5 linked regions of the Macaca fascicularis genome follow. Each later gene encodes a partner of the first gene's protein in a complex. Links are inferred from orthologs where the notes say so. Each region holds a gene or a part of one and is shown on either strand. Other genes may lie near its edges. The genes, in order: AGK, TIMM10, TIMM29, TIMM22 and TIMM10B.

Region 1 (4,179 bases):
AGTTGCTACTGAGCCCAACTGAGATTTAGCACATTGATTTTTGCCTTTATTTTTTTCTAGGTGCTGCGGTTTGTGATTGAGTGGGGAGGTTGGGGAGGACAGCCAAGGCTTTTACAGATGCCAATACTCTAGCAAGAAATAAGGAAGAGCGGCTGCTAAAAGAGCTGAGATTTTCCATTCTACCCTCCTGTGCCTCATTTTTCTTTTCCTCTTTCTACTTTCTTGGCTGAGTCTGCCTGTCAGTAAGATGATCAACAGCTGTGGGAAGCACAGAGCAGGACTGGGAGGAAGCCTCCAAGCAGGAGTCAGGACGTTTGTCCTGAGTAGGGCTGATGGTCTAAACTTGACCTTGGCCACCCAGCTCCTTGGCCCAGGCCCACCTTCCTTCATTCACTGTTTCACTCTTGTATCCACTGAATACCTATGCAGTGTCTTCTATGGAGTATCCACTTAAGTCAAGCACTAGGCATCCCATTATGGCAAAAATAGACATGGTCTTGACCTCAAGGGGCTCACACTCTGGGAAGATAGGCAACAATGAATAAATGGCAAGAGATCAATATGTGATTACAGATCACTGATAAGTGCCACAAAGGAAAACAAAAGGACTCTATGAAGGAGAATTACCAGGTAGAGGCTGCCTACTTTAGATGGTGGTCAAGGATGGTTTCTCTGAGAAGAGACATTTAAGCTAGAACCTGAAGGATGACATAAAGCAGAGGTGAGACCTGAATCACTACCCACAGGGATGGTGTGTCAAGGAAAACAAGAGACAATGAGGAAATGAGCTCAGGGGGACTCCTCAAATCCAATAGAACAGATTTACAGCGATGTTCCATATTTTTGGTTATGCTTATTCATTAAAATCCACCTGCAAGTTTGCATCTATCAAAGGAAATACAGTATCTGAATATACAATGCCCTTGACATATGCACATTAAGCTACATAGTGGTACATGTCTTCCACTTTTTAGTAGAACTTTCTAAATTAAAAGAATTTATGAATGATGTTATAAATGAGGATTTAAAATACTTTCTATAAGGCCAGGCATGGTGACTCATGCCTATAATCCCAGCACTTTGGGAGGCCAAGGCTGGTGGATCACCCGAGGTCAGGAGTTTGAGACCAGCCTGGCCAATACGGTGAAACCCCGTCTCTACTAAAAATACAAAAAATTAGCCAGGTGTGGTGGTGTGTGCCTGTAGTCCAAGCTACTCAGGAGGCTGAGACATGAGAATTGCTTGAAACCAGGAGGCAGAGGTTGCAGTGAGCTGAGATCACGCGACTGCACTTCAGCCTGGGCCACAGAGTAAGACCCTGTCTCCAAAAAATAAAAATAAAAAAAAACTTTAGATAAAAAGTCAAGAATCCAAGATGCTTGTGGAATTAACTGTCTTCCTCATTTCCATTGGAGAAAGCCTCATATTTTTCATAAAAAATAGGAAACTGAGTGTGTTCCAAGATCTTCCTTATACAGTGGTGACATTCTCATGTTGTAGCATTTGAGCTATCACCACCAAAGGTCATTAAATCCATGCCATGTATGCTTGTGACTATGGTCTCAAATATTCTTTCCTTTTTTTTTTTCCCTCCTAGTCTCTATCTCTACATCCATCATTCAATAAATACTTAGTAAATACCTAATGTGTGCCAGACAACATTCTTGCTGGGAACACAGCAGTAAACAAAACAGAACAAAACAGACTAAGTTCCTCTTCTCATGAAGCAGGAGCACAGATCATGGAGACCACAATAAGAACTTGGGATTTCATTTTTGGTAAGATGGCAATCATTTGGAGAGTTTGATTAATGTAATCTGATTTCCATTTTAAAATAAAAATGTTGTGACTGCAAATAGATAGTAGGGAAGCAAGGCTGGAAGCAGGGAGGGCAATTAGGAGACCTTTGCACCACCATAGGGAAGATAAGTTTGTCACTTGGAACAAAGTGGCACAGCCTGATGGTAGAGGTAGCTGATTTCTGGACATATTTTGAAGGTAAGGCATACAGAATTTGCTAATGGACTTAACGTGGAGCATGAGAAAAAGAGATGAGTTAAGACAAGCTTTATGTTTTCTGGCCCAAGAAATTGGAAAAATAGAATAAATGTTTATTGAGATGGGAGGGGCTTTGGGAGGAAGTTTTGGACTTGCTAGATTTGGAAGGCCTGTATTAAATTAAATAAGCAGGAGGCCATTTGCCTGAGGCTGTTTCTCTACTTTGACTCACTATGTAGCAAACTGCAAGCTAACTCAGTAAGTAAACAAACTGAAAACCTAATTTAGGAGTATATATTTTGTAACAGATAGCCCAATCTTAGCCAATACAAGCAGCTAAGCTTTAATCATGGGCAGCCAACTGATCAGACCATGTCCAAATAATGCAAACACCTAGCTGTAACCAATCAAGCTATTTCTGTACTTCACTTCCATTTTCTGTCTATAAGTACTCACTACCCACTTTGCAGGGCAGTCTCCAAACCTCTTCTAGTTCTGAGTGCTGCCCAACTCATGAATCATTCTTTGCTCAAATAAACTCTGTTAAATTTAATTTGTCAAAAGTTTTTCTGTTAACACTGATTAGGCATTCACATGGAGATGTTGACGAGATGGCAAACCATATGTGTGCCTGGAACTTAACTAACACCTACCTCACTCATAATTTTGTCCAATTCCTTCTTGGCCAGCTCAAAGTCTTTTCTATCTTGTCATGACACTTCATGATGCCTTTGAATCTGGGCACTCCTATCCTCACTCCACACTTCTGAATAGGTACAATTTCCTCTGGGTTCTCATGCTCCTCTTTTCTCCTAAATCAAAAGATGAACAGGTAGTTAGATGGTACCCCACGTTTCAAAAATGACCATTTAAATGCCGCTCTCACCTTACTTGCATCATCAACTTTTTTCCAGTATTCTACGCTAAAGCAAACATTCTTGCTTAAGTTGAATTGCAGTTAAATAAACTAACTCTCAGGGCTTTGTTCTATTTCAAGCTCACCAAGCAAGCCTCTGACAACAAGGTTTTTTATCTACCTTGGTATGGGAAATGGGTATTTGGAACAGTGGAAACAAGTTATTTTTCCCCTGTAAAAATATACTGATGCTAACTTATAAACAATCTCTAAAGCTCAGTGTCTTAACATAATAACATTTTATTTCTTGTCCACATGATAATCCAGAGTGAATCAGGCATCTCTCCTGGTGGCTCTCTTCCATGTGGTGACTCATGGATCCAGGATTCTTCTATTGTGTTTCTCCTCCATTGCAAAATCCTTTGCTTCCAGCATTTGAGACATTTTTTAGCTATATCTACAACTGGTATATATCACTTCTGCCCACATTCACTTGGGTAGAACTCAATCACATTGCTTCACCTAACTGCAAGTGAAGCTGAGGAATATAGTCTCCCTATGTGCCCAGGCAGAAGAAACAGGATTGGTGAGCATCTTGCCCATCTCTACCACTAACAGTTTATCCCCCCAAATAAATCAATACACTGACACTCTAGTTTTGTCTTTGTTCTCTTGCGAATGTTATAGTGTGACTCTACAATGTGTGATTGCTCCTGGTGAATCAAAAGGATAAAGCTGCTGATTCTGCAATTTGAGAACCCAACCATGCTGACCTCAAAGTGTAGTCAATCCATGAAGTTCCTCCCACCACAGTTCATCCTGAACACTGTCCACCTGAGTCATCAGGAAAGGTTTAAGTACATTACCTGTGCTCTGTTTAATGTCGGCGAAGTGTGTCCTAAATTTAGTTATTTCGAGGATCTCCTTCTAGTTCCAGAAGTAAGCCAGGTTCTACCGCTGTCAAGTGTTACTCATGGCTAGCTGAGGAAAAGGGGTTCAAAAACATTGAGAAGAAAAGGAGGGAAAAGGCTGGGTTAATGGGGACAGGGGTAAGGGTGAGACCCCAGCTAAACAGTGAAGATAAAAACAGACATGTAAATGAGAGGAAAGAAGAGAAGGTAATGGTGAAAGTCAGTACAGGAAGGAAAGGGGTTGTAGGGGACAAACACTGAGAGCGCAAGAACGTGGATAAGGTGAAACTAAGGTGAGCGAGGAGGCTGAAGAGAGGTCAGCTGCAGCGGGAAAGAGGGAAGGGCCCTTTAAGAAACACATCAAGCCGCAGGTGTGGGCCACGAGGCTGGCGCAGCGCTGTCGCTCCACGCGTC
Region 2 (4,269 bases), on another chromosome or scaffold:
GAGACGGGGTTTTGCCATGTTGGCCAGGTGGTCTTGAACTCCTGACCTCAAGTGATCCACCCACTTCAGCCTCCCAAAGTGCTGGGATTACAGGCGTGAGCCACTGTGCCTGGCCTGTCCTACTCTTAAACACTACATTAGTCTCCCTCTGCTGGTAGGGGCTGTGTCTGTTTACTCTCAAATGCCACGCACACTGCTTTGCACATAGTAGGTGTCAACAAACTTGTTTTAATATATATATACATACATACATACATACACACAGTCACATTCCAGTGTGACAAATACTCCTTCACCAGGGGACAGCGCTACCACTCCAGGATCTTGAAGACTCGCTACAGAGAGCTTAGGCCTGGCAGTCCTCACAGATGACACCCAACAGGGAGCACTTTTATTAAAGTGGGAAGGGGTGGGGTGTACCCCAGGGTGTATGCTGACACGGACCTCACGCGGGCCCAGAGCTCTGCTGCACCCTCTTCATCAGCTCTTCATCCTGCATAGACAACTCTGTCAACTTTTTGCCCATTCGCTCATGGATGTCCAAGTACTTAGAGACACATCGGTCCAGGCACACAGACTCGCCCTTGGAGAGCTCTGCTTCCTTGTAGTGAGGAGGTACACACTTCCGGTGGCAGGCACTGGTCATTCTGGAGGGAGGGAGGGGCAAGGTCATGTCAGCAGCATCCTGTGACATCCCAGGAACCCTCGACCATTCCAGCCCTGCTATATTGATGTCACCTTCCCCAAGAAAGCAGTGTAAATCCTCAGTTTACACCTCAACCACTGGAAGGTCCTTGCAAGTAGGAAACTTGCCTGAGCCCATGTATATGACTAATTAAGTAGAAACAATTTGTTAAGGACTGGCTATGTGCCAGGCATCATGCTAAGTGCTTTACCTGCATTCTGTTACGCAATGCTTACAATTACCCCAAGAGATACTTATCCCCATTTTACAGACGAGAAAATTAAGGCAAACAGAGGCTCAGTAATTTTTTTTTTTTTTTTTTTTTTTGAGACGGAGTCTCGCTCTGTCGCCCAGACTGGAGTGCAGTGGCGCGATCTCGGCTCACTGCAAGCTCCGCCTCCCGGGTTCACGCCATTCTCCTGCCTCAGCCTCCCAAGTAGCTGGGACTACAGGCGCCCGCCACCACGCCCAGCTAATTTCTTTTTGTATTTTTAGTAGAGACGGGGTTTCACCGTGTTAGCCAGGATGGTCTCGATCTCCTGACCTCGTGATCCACCCGCCTCGGCCTCCCAAAGTGCTGGGATTACAGGCTTGAGCCACCGCGCCCGGCCGAGGCTCAGTAATTTTCTAAGAATCACATAGAGCTGAGATATGAACCCAGGTCATCTGACCTCACAGTCTACACTTAACAATCTTTCTAATTTATAGTCGTCAGGATAAACCAATCAAGAGAGCTTAAGCCAATAAAAATAGCAGACATTTCACTGTTACTAAGTGTTGGGCTTGAGGCTAAGGACTTTCATATATTTTTAGATTTAATATTTATGATGCCCTATGAGGTAGGTATCATTATGTCTTTTTCATAATGAGGAAACCAATTGTCAAACAGTGCAAGTAACATGTCCAAGTATACTGCTGGTGATTGGTGGAGCCAGGATTTGTTCCCAAATGTGCCAAATGGTTATGAGCACTAGTTGCAGAACCAGACTGAGGTGCTAGTTCTGGCATTGTTACCCACCAGCTGCGGACCCTAAGGAAGTTACTTAACCTCTAGCAGCATCAATTTCCTCATTTTAAGATGGGACTAATAAAATTAACCCACTGGATTATTTTGAAGATTAACAAGAGCCTGACACAGAATAAAGGGTTTTAAAATGTTAACTACTAAATGGGCTGGCTATGTGCTATTTATCAAGAGGCAAATACTCAGCTTTTCTTGGAACCTAACCAGAGCCTGGATTGGAGTTTCTCTTCCTGCTTGGCTCCTGCATTGCCAGTTCCATCCCCATCTAAATGCCCAACTCATTCTAGTGACTGCGTCTACATTAGGATCAACCTTGGAGGTGCGTATGGGGAGGGTAAGCATGGGCCTCAGGCTCCCCTACATTCAGGAAGGAATTTGTTGTAAGTCATTCACCTTCGATATGGGTGACCAAGACTTATTTTCCAAGACAGGGTAGAACATAGTTCTCTTTACCTGTTGTACATATCGGCCATCATCTCCACCTCCAGCTCCGCAGCCAGCTGTTGGGCCCTGAGAGGATCCATCTCAGCCTAGCACCGTGGAAGGTATCTCCTTCTGGCCTCCTAATCCTGGGAGCAGACATCACCATCAGCACCCACCGCCGCCGTTCACTCTCCTACCCCTTGGGGCTAGAGGATACAGAGGACTCACAGGGCGCCAGACCACCACGGGCCACTAACCTCAGTAAGATTAACCACCCCATTTCACGGATGTGGAAACTGAGGCCTCGCCCAAGGTCGCACAGGACGTCCATGGCGAGCCTGGAAATCGAGCCCCGGATCTCTGATGCCCCAGTCCCTGGAGGTCACCTCTATTCAGAAGATCGAGGACCGAGGCAGAACGCTCTAACCCATAAGCCTGAACCTCCAGGGCCCTGGGAATGAGATCGTACGCTGAACACAGGCGACCGGGACGCAGCCTAAAGGCTGCGCCTCTGAAATGGCGACGCCATAATCAGAGCCACATTGAATTCAGAGGTCATGGGTCACTCACCACTGCCTGGGACGGATCGCAATGCTCACGGAGACCCCAACTTCTGACAAAAACTATAACGTTACCCGCCTCTCCAGAAGGCTCCAGCGGAAGCACGTGGGTTACTTCCGGGAGGGAAGTCCCGCCTCTCCTTTGATTCAAACTCGCTTCCGGAACTAAATACCAACGAGACGGCGCCGGGAACTCGGCGATCCTAGAGAGGGAGCGGCCGGCGCCGGGCGAAGAGGAAGGCGACTTGCCAGTGCTAGAGGGGACGCCAAAGTACCATAGAGGCTTGGGCGGGGTGCAGAGCGTCTGCAGCCCGCTTACAATTCAAGTCCCTTGGGATGTCACAGAGCCGCTTCAGTTTATTGGTTCTGTAGGAAGAGGCGTGGTGACAGATATCAGTGAATCTCATCCCAGTTCCGGACAGCCGACTCCTGAGCGTAAATCAGGCGTGGAGAAGGAAGAACGCCCCCAAACAGCGATTCTGTTTTTGTTTCGCGTTAAAATCCCTGGAACGTTTTTAAACGTCCCAGTGCCCAGGACTCACCTCATTTCAATTAAATCAGAATCTCTGGGAGTAGGACCCAGGCATCAATACAATTTAAAATTCCCCAGGTGATTCGTATGTACAGCCAAATTTGAGAAGCAGTGCTCCATGGGACGTTGTGCGATTACTACTGTGTGTAGGTCACACTAAGCCCCTTCTGGTGTTGCAACGATAAGCGAGATAGGCTTCCTGCTCGTAGAAAGACAAGACGTGTAAAATATGTTTTCTTCAACAGTCAGAGGTCCTGAGCCACAAAGAGATTAATAAAAGCAATTTCGGCTGCCACCGAGGCTAATCATGGGTGAGGGAGAAGGAGGGTACTGGTGAACTTTTCAACTTTCAAGACTTAATGTGTTCTTCAAACTGCACCATTCACTCATTCCCCACTAAAAAGAAGGAAACAACACTCAGTCCCTTGATTTGTCACACAATTTCCTAGTAAAATAAATTTACAAGATGTAAATTGATGACGCAAGGGCACATTGCTCATTGGAAAAGGTGGGCTAGACATTTTATATGTGTGGTCATCATATGCTTCCCTAATTGTCCAAGACCATCCTGATTTTAAACAATCGACCTTTCTGCTTTGAAGACTCATCTTTGTCAAACCTTGTGCCCTGATTTTTAAAGATTGAGGTATAATATTCATAAAGTGCATAAAATACACGAATCTCAAGCTTAATTAAATATATATGTGTATATATACATTTGTATAACCACCACCCAGATCAAGATATAAAATACTTCCTGCACCCCAAAAAGTTATCTTGTGTTTCTTCCCCATCAATACTCCCTCTTGAAGTTAACCACTATTCTGACCTCTATCACCATCAATTCGTTTTCCTTGTTCTTGAACTTCATGTAAATGGAATTACACATTATTTTCTATTTTGTGCCTGACGTCTTTAGCTCAATGTACCTGTAAGGTTTCCTCCATATTGTTGTGTGCATCTGTTATTCCTTCTGTTTTATTGCTGTCTAGTGTTTGATTGTATGAGCATGCCACAATTCATTTATCCATTCTCCTGTTGATGG
Region 3 (3,063 bases), on another chromosome or scaffold:
GCGACAGAGCGAGACAGCCTGTAATCCCAGCACTTTGGGAGGCCGAGGCGGGCGGATCACAAGGTCAGGAGATCGAGACCACAGTGAAACCCCGTCTCTACTAAAAATACAAAAAAATTAGCCGGGCGCGGTGGCGGGCGCCTGTAGTCCTAGCTACTCAGGAGGCTGAGGCAGGAGAATGGCGTGAACCCAGGAGGCGGAGCTTGCAGTGAGCCGAGATGGCGCCACTGCACTCCAGCCTGGGCAACAGCGTGAGACTCCGTCTCAAAAAAAAAAAAAAAAAAAAAAAAAAAAAAAAAAAACAAAACAAAACAAAACAAAACAAAAAACAAAAACAAAAAAAGGAAAACAAAACAAAACGAAAGAGAACAGATCACAGAATAAAAACATTTCAGCTCAAATTTTATTTAGTTAATTATTATTCTTTTTTTGTAGCGTCGGAGTCTTGCTATGTTACTCGGGCTGGCCTCAAGCGATCCTGTTGCCTCAATTTGGAAAATGCTGGGATTACAGACGTGCCTCACCACGCCAGGCCACAACCCAAACTTTAAAAAGAGAATCTAAGTGGTCTTAGAAGAGTTTGCAAGTCACCTGACCACTGTGGTACCTCCTTAAGGAGGGCCTCTGAGGCCCAATGAAAAAGGCTTATATAAAAGGCTCATGACCAGCTCTGCCAGTGATGAACATGTGTCAAGTCGTTCTGCTGTCCCAACTCCTGGACCAAGGTGGCTCGGAATTAGCTTCAGCTTATAAAGAACAAAGACGGGGGGCAGAAAGGCTCCCCAAACTTGCGCAAATCCAGTGAGAAAACACTTTGCACATCATCTGTCTCAGTTGTTCTGCAGGTGAGGCACACTCACAGCTGCACTACCCCAGGCAAGCAGTTTGCCAGGACTCGGGGGCCTCCGGGTTTCATCTCGGGGCCTCCGCCTGCACCAGCGAGTGGGCCTGGCTCAGGGCGAGCCTGTCCTTTTTTTCCTTCTGCAAGACCTGCTCCTCCCACAGCGCCTGGTCCACCTGATCGTCGGTGAGCACGACAGGCTTGTACTTCTCATCGAAGAGCCGCTCGTTGGTCTCGGAATGCAGCTGCTGGGGCCCGACCACCCGCAAATGCGCCGGCAGGTGCAGGAATTCGTCGTCGTTGATGTCGCAGTCGCGCATCCGGGCCCCCAGCACCCACCAGCGACCCACGAAGCCCACGTCCAGGACCCGGCCGGGGAAGTCGGTCCAGCGGGGCTGCAGGTAGCGGCAGCGCGCCTGGTAGAGGCTGGCCTGGGCGTCGAAGGGCGCCTCGTACACCAGGGAGCAGAGCCCTAGGTTGACGTGGCGCAGGCGGCCACGGCCCCGCAGCCAGAGCAGCCGCTGCACGAAGGCTTCGGACTCGCGGTTGCGGGTGGCCGGCGCCAGCAGCAGGAGGGTCCCCGACGCCTCCAGCAGCGCCTCCTCGAAAGCACTCTCGCTAGGCGCCAGCGTGAAGCAGGCCGCCGCGCCGCCCAGCAGCCCCACATACACGGCCGCGCGCCCCGGCCGGGCACTAGCCTCCGCCGCCGCGTCCCTGCAGGCCTCGGCGTAGTCCCGGAGCAGCGCGCGGGCCCAGGACCCTGAGGGGAGAGGAGCGCGGTAAGAGTGATCTGGCAGCGGCGGCCACTCACCCTGCCGCCTTCCGCCGCTACTCACCCAGCCGCGCCCACACTCCCGGCTTCGCCGCTGCAGCGTCGCCCGCCTCTGCGCGGCGCCGGGACCAAAATCTCCTCAGAGCCGCGGCGGCCATCCTTTTCCGTCTTGGGGGTCCTTGCTCCGAAAAGAAACTCTTGATACCCGAAGTTAAAAGCCCGGGAGGCGCTTCTGCGCAAGCGCCAACTTTACCGGAAGTGGCTTCCCAGCGGGAAAGGATAGAAAGAGGACCGGCGCCGGATGTTGCTGTCCGGTCCGAGTCGGGTAGATTCTGACGGGTAGGCCAGCTGCGCAGTCGCAGAGAGCCCCAGCCACGCCGGCCCAGGTGGCCTCCGGTGAGGAGGGCGGAGCGCACCTGTGGCGACGGGGCGACGAGTTCAAGCTTCCGTGGGTGCAGCTGGCCGCCAGGTAGGGCTGGGGGCCGAGGGACCGGCGTGGGGGCGTGGGGGGAGCGTGCCTGACCGGTCTCTGTCCTCAGCGAGGGATGCGGAGACGCCCCTGAACGACCATGGCATCGGCTGACGAGCTGACCTTCCACGGTGAGTGCGGCCCCGACGAGGCCGGATCTCCTACTCCCGCCCCTTGCCAGAACCTACCCCCCATGCGGCTTCCAACTTCTCTACCCCTAGGCGGCTGTGAACCCTGACCCAGGAGGGAGACCCATCTCTGACCCGAACCCCGCCCCCGCCCTGAACTCAGACCTCAAACCCGAGCCTCATGTCTCCAGACCCTGACCCCATCCCAGGGCCAACCCTAAGTTGCAGTTCCACTTTAGGAGGAAGGGAACAGACGCCCTCCGGATGCCTCCAAACTGAGGAAGTTGGGCCCCCCACCTTGGGGGAGATCAGTGGCTTAGCAGAGCCTCCGCCCCCAGATGAGCATTGACTTGGCTGGAGCCCAGTCGAATTCTTTCCACCCCTCAAGCGTGCGTGTGTCCCATGTCCCTGCTCCACAGAATTCGAGGAGGCCACTAATCTTCTGGCTGAGACCCCAGATGCAGCCACAACCAGCAGAAGTGATCAGCTGACCCCACAAGGGCACGTGGCTGTGGCCGTGGGCTCAGGTAGCAGCTATGGAGCCGAGGATGAGGTGGAGGAGGAGAGTGACAAGGCCGCGGTGAGTCCCTGTGTCCTGCCTCTGTGCAGCTCCCAGCTGATCCACGCTGTCGGGGCAGGCGCTGAATGCCCGCAATGTGCAGCTCCTGCAGGAGAAGCAGCAGCAGCAGCCCGGATTCTGGACCTTCAGCTACTATCAGAGCTTCTTTGACGTGGACACCTCACAGGTCAGGCCTGGGGAGGCAGGTGAGGTGGGGCTCAGAGTTATGCTCAGGGTTCAGCCACACTTTCCCTGGGCAGGGTGCTGGTGATGGCGAGTGCGGGTGAAGGAACT
Region 4 (4,059 bases), on another chromosome or scaffold:
CTAGGATTTCTTCTTCCCTTCCCTAACATTTCTCAAGATTCCATCTTTAACCCTCTTATTCTCTCTACACTCTCATATGTAAAGTAGTCACCCTCAAGTTCAGCTATCCACTTTGCAAATCACTCTCTTGGCCACTGTGACATTCACAGTAATGCTTTACTGAGCACCACATGCCAGATATGCCACAGCCTCATTCATTCTTCACAATAATCCAGTGAGACAGATGCTATTAGCCTCTCCTTTCTATAGATAAACTGAGGCTCAGAGAGGTTAAGCAACTTCTCCCAAGGCCACACAGCTACCTAATGGCAAATCCCACACTGTTTTCCACATCTGACCTTCCTGAGCCTGCTGGACCTGTCCATGTGGATGCCCTCTCATGGCTTCATGGTCAATATGAGTTCAATACAATCATGGGCACCTCCCCTCCAGACTTTCCTGCCTACAGCTCCTTCCTTCCAGTCATGCCATCTCCAAACACTAGGAGCACCTCTGACGGCTTCTTTACTTCCTCCTATAACCAGTCAGTCATGAAACATGGCAAAATCTTTCATCCTACTTTTGCAAGTCAAGTCCATCCCTGCCTACGTCCACAATTACCACCCCAGTCCGGGGCCTTCATCACTTCAACTGTGGAGCACTATGAAGACCCCATTCATCCTTTCAACAACTCTATCAGTGATTTATTAGGGTCAGGCGGAGTGAGGAGCAAACACCCAGTCCATGCCCTCATGAAGCTTCAGTCTCGCAAACTTCCTCTCTGGCCTTCTCATCTACAGATTTTTCTTTCCTTCACCAGACTCTATCGTAATTCACCATGTTCATTACCTCTTGTTACTCTTTGTAAAAAACATCAACTACTGCCCTAATGCCTGTAAGCGAAACGCCCAAATCTCCCCCCGACTCAACCCCAAACTTGAAATAACATTTCTCCTTTGCCTAAGTGTATTTTCTTCCTTTTTTTTTGAGATGGAGTCTCTGTTGCCAGGCTGGAGTGCAATGGCGTGATCTTGGCTCACTGCAACCTCCACCTCCTGGTTTCAAGCCATTCTTCTGCCTCAGCCTCCCGAGTAGCTGGGATTACAGGCACACACCACCATGCCCAGCTAATTTTTGTATTTTTAGTAGAGACGGGGTTTCACCATGTTGGCTAGGATGGTCTTGACCTCTTGACCTCGTGATCCGCCTGCCTTGGCCTCCCAAAGTGTTGGGATTACAGGCATGAGCCATGTGCCCAGTCCTTTTTTTTTTTTTTTTTTTTTTTTTTTTTTTTTGAGACAGGATCTTGCTCTGTCACCCAGGCTGGAGTGCGGTAACTCAATCACAGCTCACTGCAGCCTCAACCATCTGGGCTCAAGAGATCCTCCTGCCTCAGGCTCCCGAGTAGCTGGGCTCTCAGGTGCATACCAGCTAATTTTTGTATTTTTCGTAGAGATGGGGTTTCGCTATATTGGCCAGGCTGGTCTTGAACTCCTGGGATCAAGCGATCCACCTGCCTCAGCCTCCCAAAGAGCTGGGATTATACAGGAATGAGCCACCGCACCCACTCTGCCTACCTGTATTTTCTCAATCCTTCAAGACGCAGCTCCAGTCTCACCTATGGTCTTACTCAACAACAAAAAAAGACCTTTATTCCTACTTCACTTGTTTTCATTGACATTCTCACTACATTCATTTCTTAAATGTCTTTCATTCTCAGTGAGACTTAAACTCATCTGCAAATGTAGCCAACCTATTTACCCTGCACACAGAAGGAATACCGTACATTCTCAAATCTCCAAAAAGCTTAAGGGAAACGTAGAAGGACAAGTGCAGACTTCGTGTCTCCTTGCTCGCTGCTGTCTAGTCACAGTGGTCTTTCAGTTTTCCAAACCTCAAGCAACCGCTGCCCTAGCGCCGTCTGCATGTGCATTTCCATATGTCTGCATCATTCCTCTGCAGAGTTCCTGCTCGACATTCTTCTCCACATAGTATAATACGGCCCCGTGAAGACCAGGCTCTTGTCTCTCTCCTGGCACGTGATAGTTGCTTAGGAACGATTTGTTGAAGGATTTAAGAGAATGAGCGAATTCAAGGGAATGAACGGATGAATGAAGTCACCCATGTAATCACTTTTTTCTTTTCGAGATGGAGTCTCGCTCTGTCGCCCACGCTGGAGTGCAGTGGCGCGATCTCGGCTCACTGCAACCTCCGCCTCCTGGGCTCAAGCGATTCTCCTGCCTCAGCCTCCGAATAGCTGGGAATACAGGCGCCCACCACCATGCCCGGCTAATTTTTTATATTTCTAGTAGAAACAGGGTTTCACCGTGTGAGCCAGGATGTCATGTAATAACTTTTAGGCCCCAACCACAGCAATTTTCTGATGCAATTTTCATCAAGAAAGCTGAGCTGAGGGGGCAGGAGAGGTGACGTTCACGGAACGAGGTGGGGGTGTGGTCAAGGTCAAGGCCCGCAGTCCCTCGCCTCCCAGGCGCGTGGTCTTCTCTGCAGAGATCCCCACTGCCGTCCAGGCCCTCAGCCTCCCAAGCATCCCACTCGCCCGGCCTCACCTCCCACGCAGGCCAGCGCAGCCTTGAAGGCACAGCTTTCCATCACCTTCTCGATCATCTTCTGCTCCTCACTCTTGGCTGGACTTGGGATCCCGCCCAGGCTCCCAGGCTCCAGGAGTCGGGGCTGACGCTTGTCACCCACCAGGTACTGCAGGAGAAGGCTGTACTGCAGCGGAGCTTCGGCGGAACCCGCTGCCTCAGGGGCCGAAGCCCCGGCATTGGAGGCGGCCGCCGCCATGACAGTCGCTGCCCAAGCAACCCTCGCGTCCTTCCCCCCGCAGCAGATTCGACAAGCGTCACGCTGCGAGCCCTGACACTAGCCACCGTCTGTAACGGCAGATTCGCAGCAAGAGGAAGCCGCGGCCGCAAGAGACGTCGTGCGCGCATCAGCGACAGCGCTATCGTGTTTCCAAAAAGAAAGCCTCTTGTGAAAATGGAATTGGGCTTGAACAGCTTTCCCCATGTCACAGACAAACGAGATTCAGATTCACCAGAAAGCGCCCACACGGTCGGGGCTGCAGCGCGGTGAGTACAGAGATTTGTAGTTCCAATCCGACATCCAACTACATTTCCCAGGAAGCGTTGCGCGTGCTCTCGCGTCTCGGCCCCGCGCGGGGCTCCTACGCGCTGCTGAGGGGAGCGAGGAGCGGCCGCGCGCTCCGGGGCTGCCGTGCTCCGGATCGCCGGGAGGGGGCGCGCGAGCATTCTCGCTGCCCTTTCCGCCTCCTGCTGTCATCGGGCGAGGAGGCGTTAAATCCTGTGGTCCCGGAAGGTGCGGTGAGGGCTGGACGCTTTGTAGACACGCGTGAACGTGTGCTGGAAATGCTTGGACCGGGCGCGGGGGCTCACGCCTGTCTTCCAGCACTTTGGGAGCCGAGAGCGGTGGATCATGAGGTCAGGAGTTCGAGACCAGCCTGACCAACATGGTGAAACCCCATCTCTACTAAAAATACAAAAAAAAAAAAAAAAAAAATTAGCTGGGCATGGTGGTGCACGCCTGTATTCCCAGCTACTTGAGAGGCTGAGGCAGGAGACCCCATCTCTACTAAAAATACAAAAATTAGCCAGATGGTGGCAGGCGCCTGTAATCTCAGTTACTTGGGAGGCTGAGACAGGAGAATCACTTAAACCCGGGAGGTGGAGGTTGCAGTGAGCCAAGATCGCGCCGTCCTGCTCCAGCCTGGGCGACAAGAGCAAGACTCGGTCTAAAAAAAAAAAAAAAAAAAAAAAATCCTAACTTATAGCATTTGCTGACTTGAGTGGTGTCAATATCCCCATAGTGGCTGATTTCAAACTACCAAGCGAGGTCATCAGTCAGAATTGGGAAGACTCACAGCAGTATGTGGTTAGACAATGTTTCTATCACACAGATACAATCTATGGAAATAACCTCAACAGCATAGATAGGAGTACGGTGTAGTAAAACTTTTAGGAGGTGGTGAGTTTTGAGCACACATTACCTGTTTTTAGTGTAATTTGATTATAAATGTATAAAATGTAATTTTTAATA
Region 5 (3,283 bases), on another chromosome or scaffold:
CGGATCTCGAGGTCAGGAGATCGAGACCGTCCTGGCTAACACGGTGAAACCCCCGTCTCTACTAAAAAATACAAAAAACTAGCTGGGCGAGGTGGCGGGTGCCTGTAGTCCCAGCTACTCGGGAGGCTGAGGCAGGAGAATGGCGGGAACCCGGGAGGCGGAGCTTGCAGTGAGCTGAGATCCGGCCACTGCACTCCAGCCTGGGCGACAGAGTGAGACTCCGTCTCAAAAAAAAAAAAAAAAAAAAAAAAAAAAAGAAATCACGGATTGTACTCAATGAGACCAATGTGGGGCAGATGATGGAAAGCTGGAATTAGGAGATTCTAGACAAGCAGTGAAACATTAAGGTAGCATTAAGGAAGTCCCGAAGATTTCGTTTTATCCTTTTTATCATAACCATTGCCATCTACTTCCCCCTTCAGTTTTTCTTCCTCAGATTTCGCTGTATTGCAGAATACGGTCCCCAACTTTCTCCCTTCCCGATTGCCCGTAAGACAAGCACACAGACCTTGGTTCAAAGGTTTTACTTCTCATCCTGAGAAGACTGTACAAACTAAGAAAGTAACAACCTGGGGAAATGGCTGAAGTTCCAAGACTCCAGACTTCTTACAGGTTTCATCTCTCTTCTGTGGCCACTAACTTCTCAAGGAGGCAGTGCCCAAAAGCCCTGTGGTTTTTTGATCCGTTGTACTTCGACAGCTTCTCCTTTCCCTAGATCCAGCAGAATTCTAGACATATAAGACATAGTTCACAAAACAACAGTTATGAACCAACAAATACTTGGTTCACGGTTATAAGCCATTGAAGTCAGTCAGACTTAAGGACAACTAGACAGAGCTCCCATTTTCTGTCATCTGGGCAGGAACCAATCTCCTTTTGTATCAAATGGCCTTCTGGTACATTCTGGAATCTTGCTTCCTCATCTATTTAGTGAGGCTAATACCGCTTACTTGTAGTTTTGTTGTAAACTAAGATAAAGCCTGACATATTACTCATTTTAAAATTGTACACACAGACCCTGCTTTAACCAGATGCCTGCAAATACTCAGGTTTTCCTTCTACATATAGAAGACAACTTATCAGCTGCCAGGGCTGAAGCCAGCAGATATGGCTAAATGACAGAACAAAGGATTATGCCAATAAACTATGCAAAGCTTCCTTGCCCAGAATATAAATCAAACAGAGTAAAAAGCGAGTATATTGGCTCCAGGAAAAGGAGCAAGGACAGCCAGTTTTCAGGCGACCTCGAATTCTCTCCGTTTAGGATTCACCAACCCTAAGGTCCACTGGGTCCTTCAATCTGAGGGTCCATCCAGGGCCTTCCCTCCTGGGGTTGGAGATGGCTAGCTGCCTGATGGAGAGACCCCAGGCTGCTCAGCAGCAACGCCTGGCACAGCCGAGACAGCCTCGTAGTCTGCGATGCGGCGCTGTACCAGGGCAGGCATGAGCTGCACGTAAGCGGCCATGAGGCGGTGGTTGGAATGGATCAGCTTCCCAGCACAGCTGTGCAGACAGGCCTCCTAGAAGGAAGATAGGGTTTAAGCGGAGGACAAAGGTGTCCTGTCGGGCCCGCCTCCGTCCTTCCCCATGCACAGCCTAGGGGTGAGGGTCTGGGAAGGCCAGGACCAGAGGTAGGGGAAGTGGGGTGAGGAGGGAAGCAGTCTACCGCTAAACTCTGTTTGCAGCGTAACCTCCTTACACAGTTCCCCACCTCCTCAGCGTCCAGAGCTCGGTGGTGCAAGCTGGGCACACAACGCTGGAAGCAGAGTTCTGTCATCCGATTGTAGACCAACAGGAAGTCACGCAGCTGGGAGAAAACCGGGACCACGAACTCAGCGATATGTGCCCCACACTTCTACTCAAGGTCGCGCCGCCCAAAGTTTCCCAGGCCCGCGCACCATAACCCGAAGTTTCCAGCCCTCAGATCCCTGGCTCTATGGGGTTTCCGCGATGTGTGCAGGAATGCGAGCTGAACGTCTGGCCCCGAAACGACTTAGTTCTCACTCACGTTTCTCAGTTGCTGTTGCTGCTGCTGCTGCTCCATCACGCCACCGGCGCATGCTCTACGCCACTTCCTTTTCAGCTTCTCGGTGCCGCCCCGGAAGTAACCTCTCGCTGCTCTCGAGAACCAAGCTAGAGTATCGCCCTGCCCCGGCTTCGACGTCACTTCCGCCCTTATAATCTGCGACGTGGCCGGCTTCTTCTGCCCGGAGAGGACGTCACTTCCGCCGAGTCCCTGACCTGCTGCTAGGATCGCGACGGGAACTGGAGCCCGAGGTCCCCGCGCGGCCCGGGCCTGGCGCCCTGAGGGGAAGAGCGGCCCGGCCCGAGGTGAGAGGGACATGCTTGGGCGACGGGAAGTTGAACGCACAAACCTGTCCAGAGGGCAAGATGCCCCGAGCCCTGGGGAAGAATGAGGACACACCTGATGTCCAGGTGTATGGGGGTGGGGGCGGGGACTCACATACCTGGGAGACTGACTGTGGAAGGGATCACCGATATCCTGGTAAAGACAGGCTTTTGCCAGAGACTGGGAACATACACCAACTGATCTAACTAAGGCCTGGTGGGGAGGGCCCAAGGAAGAGGAGTTGTATGAGACGGAGGAGGGGAGACCCCCTGAAGGAAGGGGGAAGAAACACTAAAGGAGTGAGAAAGGCCAAGCAATGGAGAACAAACCTGAATGGGGGGTGAAGACCTGAGCCCTGGAAAGGGTCCATCTCCTGCTCAGCATAAACACGCCTGCATGGAGATAAGTTCTAAGAGAGCTACTTTCCCTCTTCACTGTTGTATTTTCATTGTCACAAATAGTACCTGACACAGAGTAGGCACTCACTAAATGTCTGCTGAATGACTGAATGAGTGTAGAATAATCACCAGAGGCCTGGTGAGGTTGGGGGCTTGTGAGAAGACACCGTGCTTTGGTGTGCCTGTGTACAAATGTGCATTTTGGAGGGGAGAAATACATATACCTGAAGAAAGGAATGATGACCAAACGCTGGGACACTCAAACCCTGGGACAGCCTTTAAAGAAATGACAGAGGAGGCTTCCTTCTTCTAGAGTGCTGGCCAGTGCCCAGAACTTCTGTGTTGGGCTTTGCAGGGTGCTGGGGTGGAGAGTTTTACTCCAATACCTTTCCTAGCCATGACGGACGGGATCCTAGGGAAGGCAGCCACAATGGAGATCCCTATCCACGGGAACGGTGAAGCCAGGCAGCTTCCTGAAGATGATGGGCTGGAGCAGGTGCTTCTGTTTGATTCTTCTAATTGTTTCAATTTAGGA

Evidence for each region.
Region 2: the proteins of AGK (region 1) and TIMM10 are in contact, whole or in part, in a cryo-EM structure (PDB 7CGP), measured with the Homo sapiens proteins. The link is inferred for Macaca fascicularis from reciprocal best matches to the Homo sapiens genes AGK and TIMM10. Residues at the interface, in NP_060708.1 of Homo sapiens: Phe49, Gly50, Asn51, Gln52, Leu53, Ile54, Pro55, Pro56, Val60, Ser91, Gly92, Met93, Asp94, Val95; in NP_036588.1 of Homo sapiens: Glu40, Glu42, Leu43, Ser44, Lys45, Gly46, Ser48, Arg53.
Region 3: the proteins of AGK (region 1) and TIMM29 are in contact, whole or in part, in a cryo-EM structure (PDB 7CGP), measured with the Homo sapiens proteins. The link is inferred for Macaca fascicularis from reciprocal best matches to the Homo sapiens genes AGK and TIMM29. Residues at the interface, in NP_060708.1 of Homo sapiens: His33, Asn36, Arg39, Arg40, Cys43, Gln44, Gln47, Asn51, Lys82, Pro86, His89, Leu90; in NP_612367.1 of Homo sapiens: Tyr145, Gln146, Cys149, Arg150, Tyr151, Leu152, Gln153, Arg155.
Region 4: AGK (region 1) and TIMM22 share a complex: the UniProt entries of both Homo sapiens proteins name them as parts of the TIM22 complex. The link is inferred for Macaca fascicularis from reciprocal best matches to the Homo sapiens genes AGK and TIMM22.
Region 5: AGK (region 1) and TIMM10B share a complex: the UniProt entries of both Homo sapiens proteins name them as parts of the TIM22 complex. The link is inferred for Macaca fascicularis from reciprocal best matches to the Homo sapiens genes AGK and TIMM10B.

What each region holds. Positions count from the first base shown.
Region 1 is NC_088377.1:183,172,954-183,177,132, reverse strand, and holds the start of AGK (acylglycerol kinase, mitochondrial), read right to left. Parts: upstream 2,811-4,179; 5' UTR 2,652-2,810; intron 1-2,651. UniProt on the Homo sapiens protein: Lipid kinase that can phosphorylate both monoacylglycerol and diacylglycerol to form lysophosphatidic acid (LPA) and phosphatidic acid (PA), respectively. Does not phosphorylate sphingosine. Phosphorylates ceramide.
Region 2 is NC_088388.1:16,082,141-16,086,409, reverse strand, and holds TIMM10 (mitochondrial import inner membrane translocase subunit Tim10), read right to left. Parts: upstream 2,812-4,269; 5' UTR 2,703-2,811; intron 2,339-2,702; 5' UTR 2,234-2,338; coding exon 2,163-2,233; intron 648-2,162; coding exon 446-647; 3' UTR 209-445; downstream 1-208.
Region 3 is NC_088393.1:11,494,715-11,497,777, reverse strand, and holds TIMM29 (mitochondrial import inner membrane translocase subunit Tim29), read right to left. Parts: upstream 1,800-3,063; 5' UTR 1,772-1,799; coding exon 1,678-1,771; intron 1,602-1,677; coding exon 913-1,601; 3' UTR 506-912; downstream 1-505. Other genes in the region: protein YIPF2, read left to right, coding at 2,183-2,213, 2,630-2,790, 2,873-2,956. UniProt on the Homo sapiens protein: Component of the TIM22 complex, a complex that mediates the import and insertion of multi-pass transmembrane proteins into the mitochondrial inner membrane.
Region 4 is NC_088390.1:1,103,400-1,107,458, reverse strand, and holds the start of TIMM22 (mitochondrial import inner membrane translocase subunit Tim22), read right to left. Parts: upstream 2,813-4,059; 5' UTR 2,788-2,812; coding exon 2,550-2,787; intron 1-2,549. UniProt on the Homo sapiens protein: Essential core component of the TIM22 complex, a complex that mediates the import and insertion of multi-pass transmembrane proteins into the mitochondrial inner membrane. In the TIM22 complex, it constitutes the voltage-activated and signal-gated channel.
Region 5 is NC_088388.1:59,598,634-59,601,916, forward strand, and holds TIMM10B (mitochondrial import inner membrane translocase subunit Tim10 B), read right to left. Parts: upstream 2,066-3,283; 5' UTR 2,045-2,065; coding exon 2,009-2,044; exon of another isoform or gene 1,902-2,008; coding exon of another isoform or gene 1,899-1,901; intron 1,808-1,898; coding exon 1,712-1,807; coding exon of another isoform or gene 1,700-1,711; intron 1,521-1,699; coding exon 1,344-1,520; 3' UTR 510-1,343; downstream 1-509. Other genes in the region: ARFIP2 (arfaptin-2), read left to right, coding at 3,146-3,244. UniProt on the Homo sapiens protein: Component of the TIM22 complex, a complex that mediates the import and insertion of multi-pass transmembrane proteins into the mitochondrial inner membrane.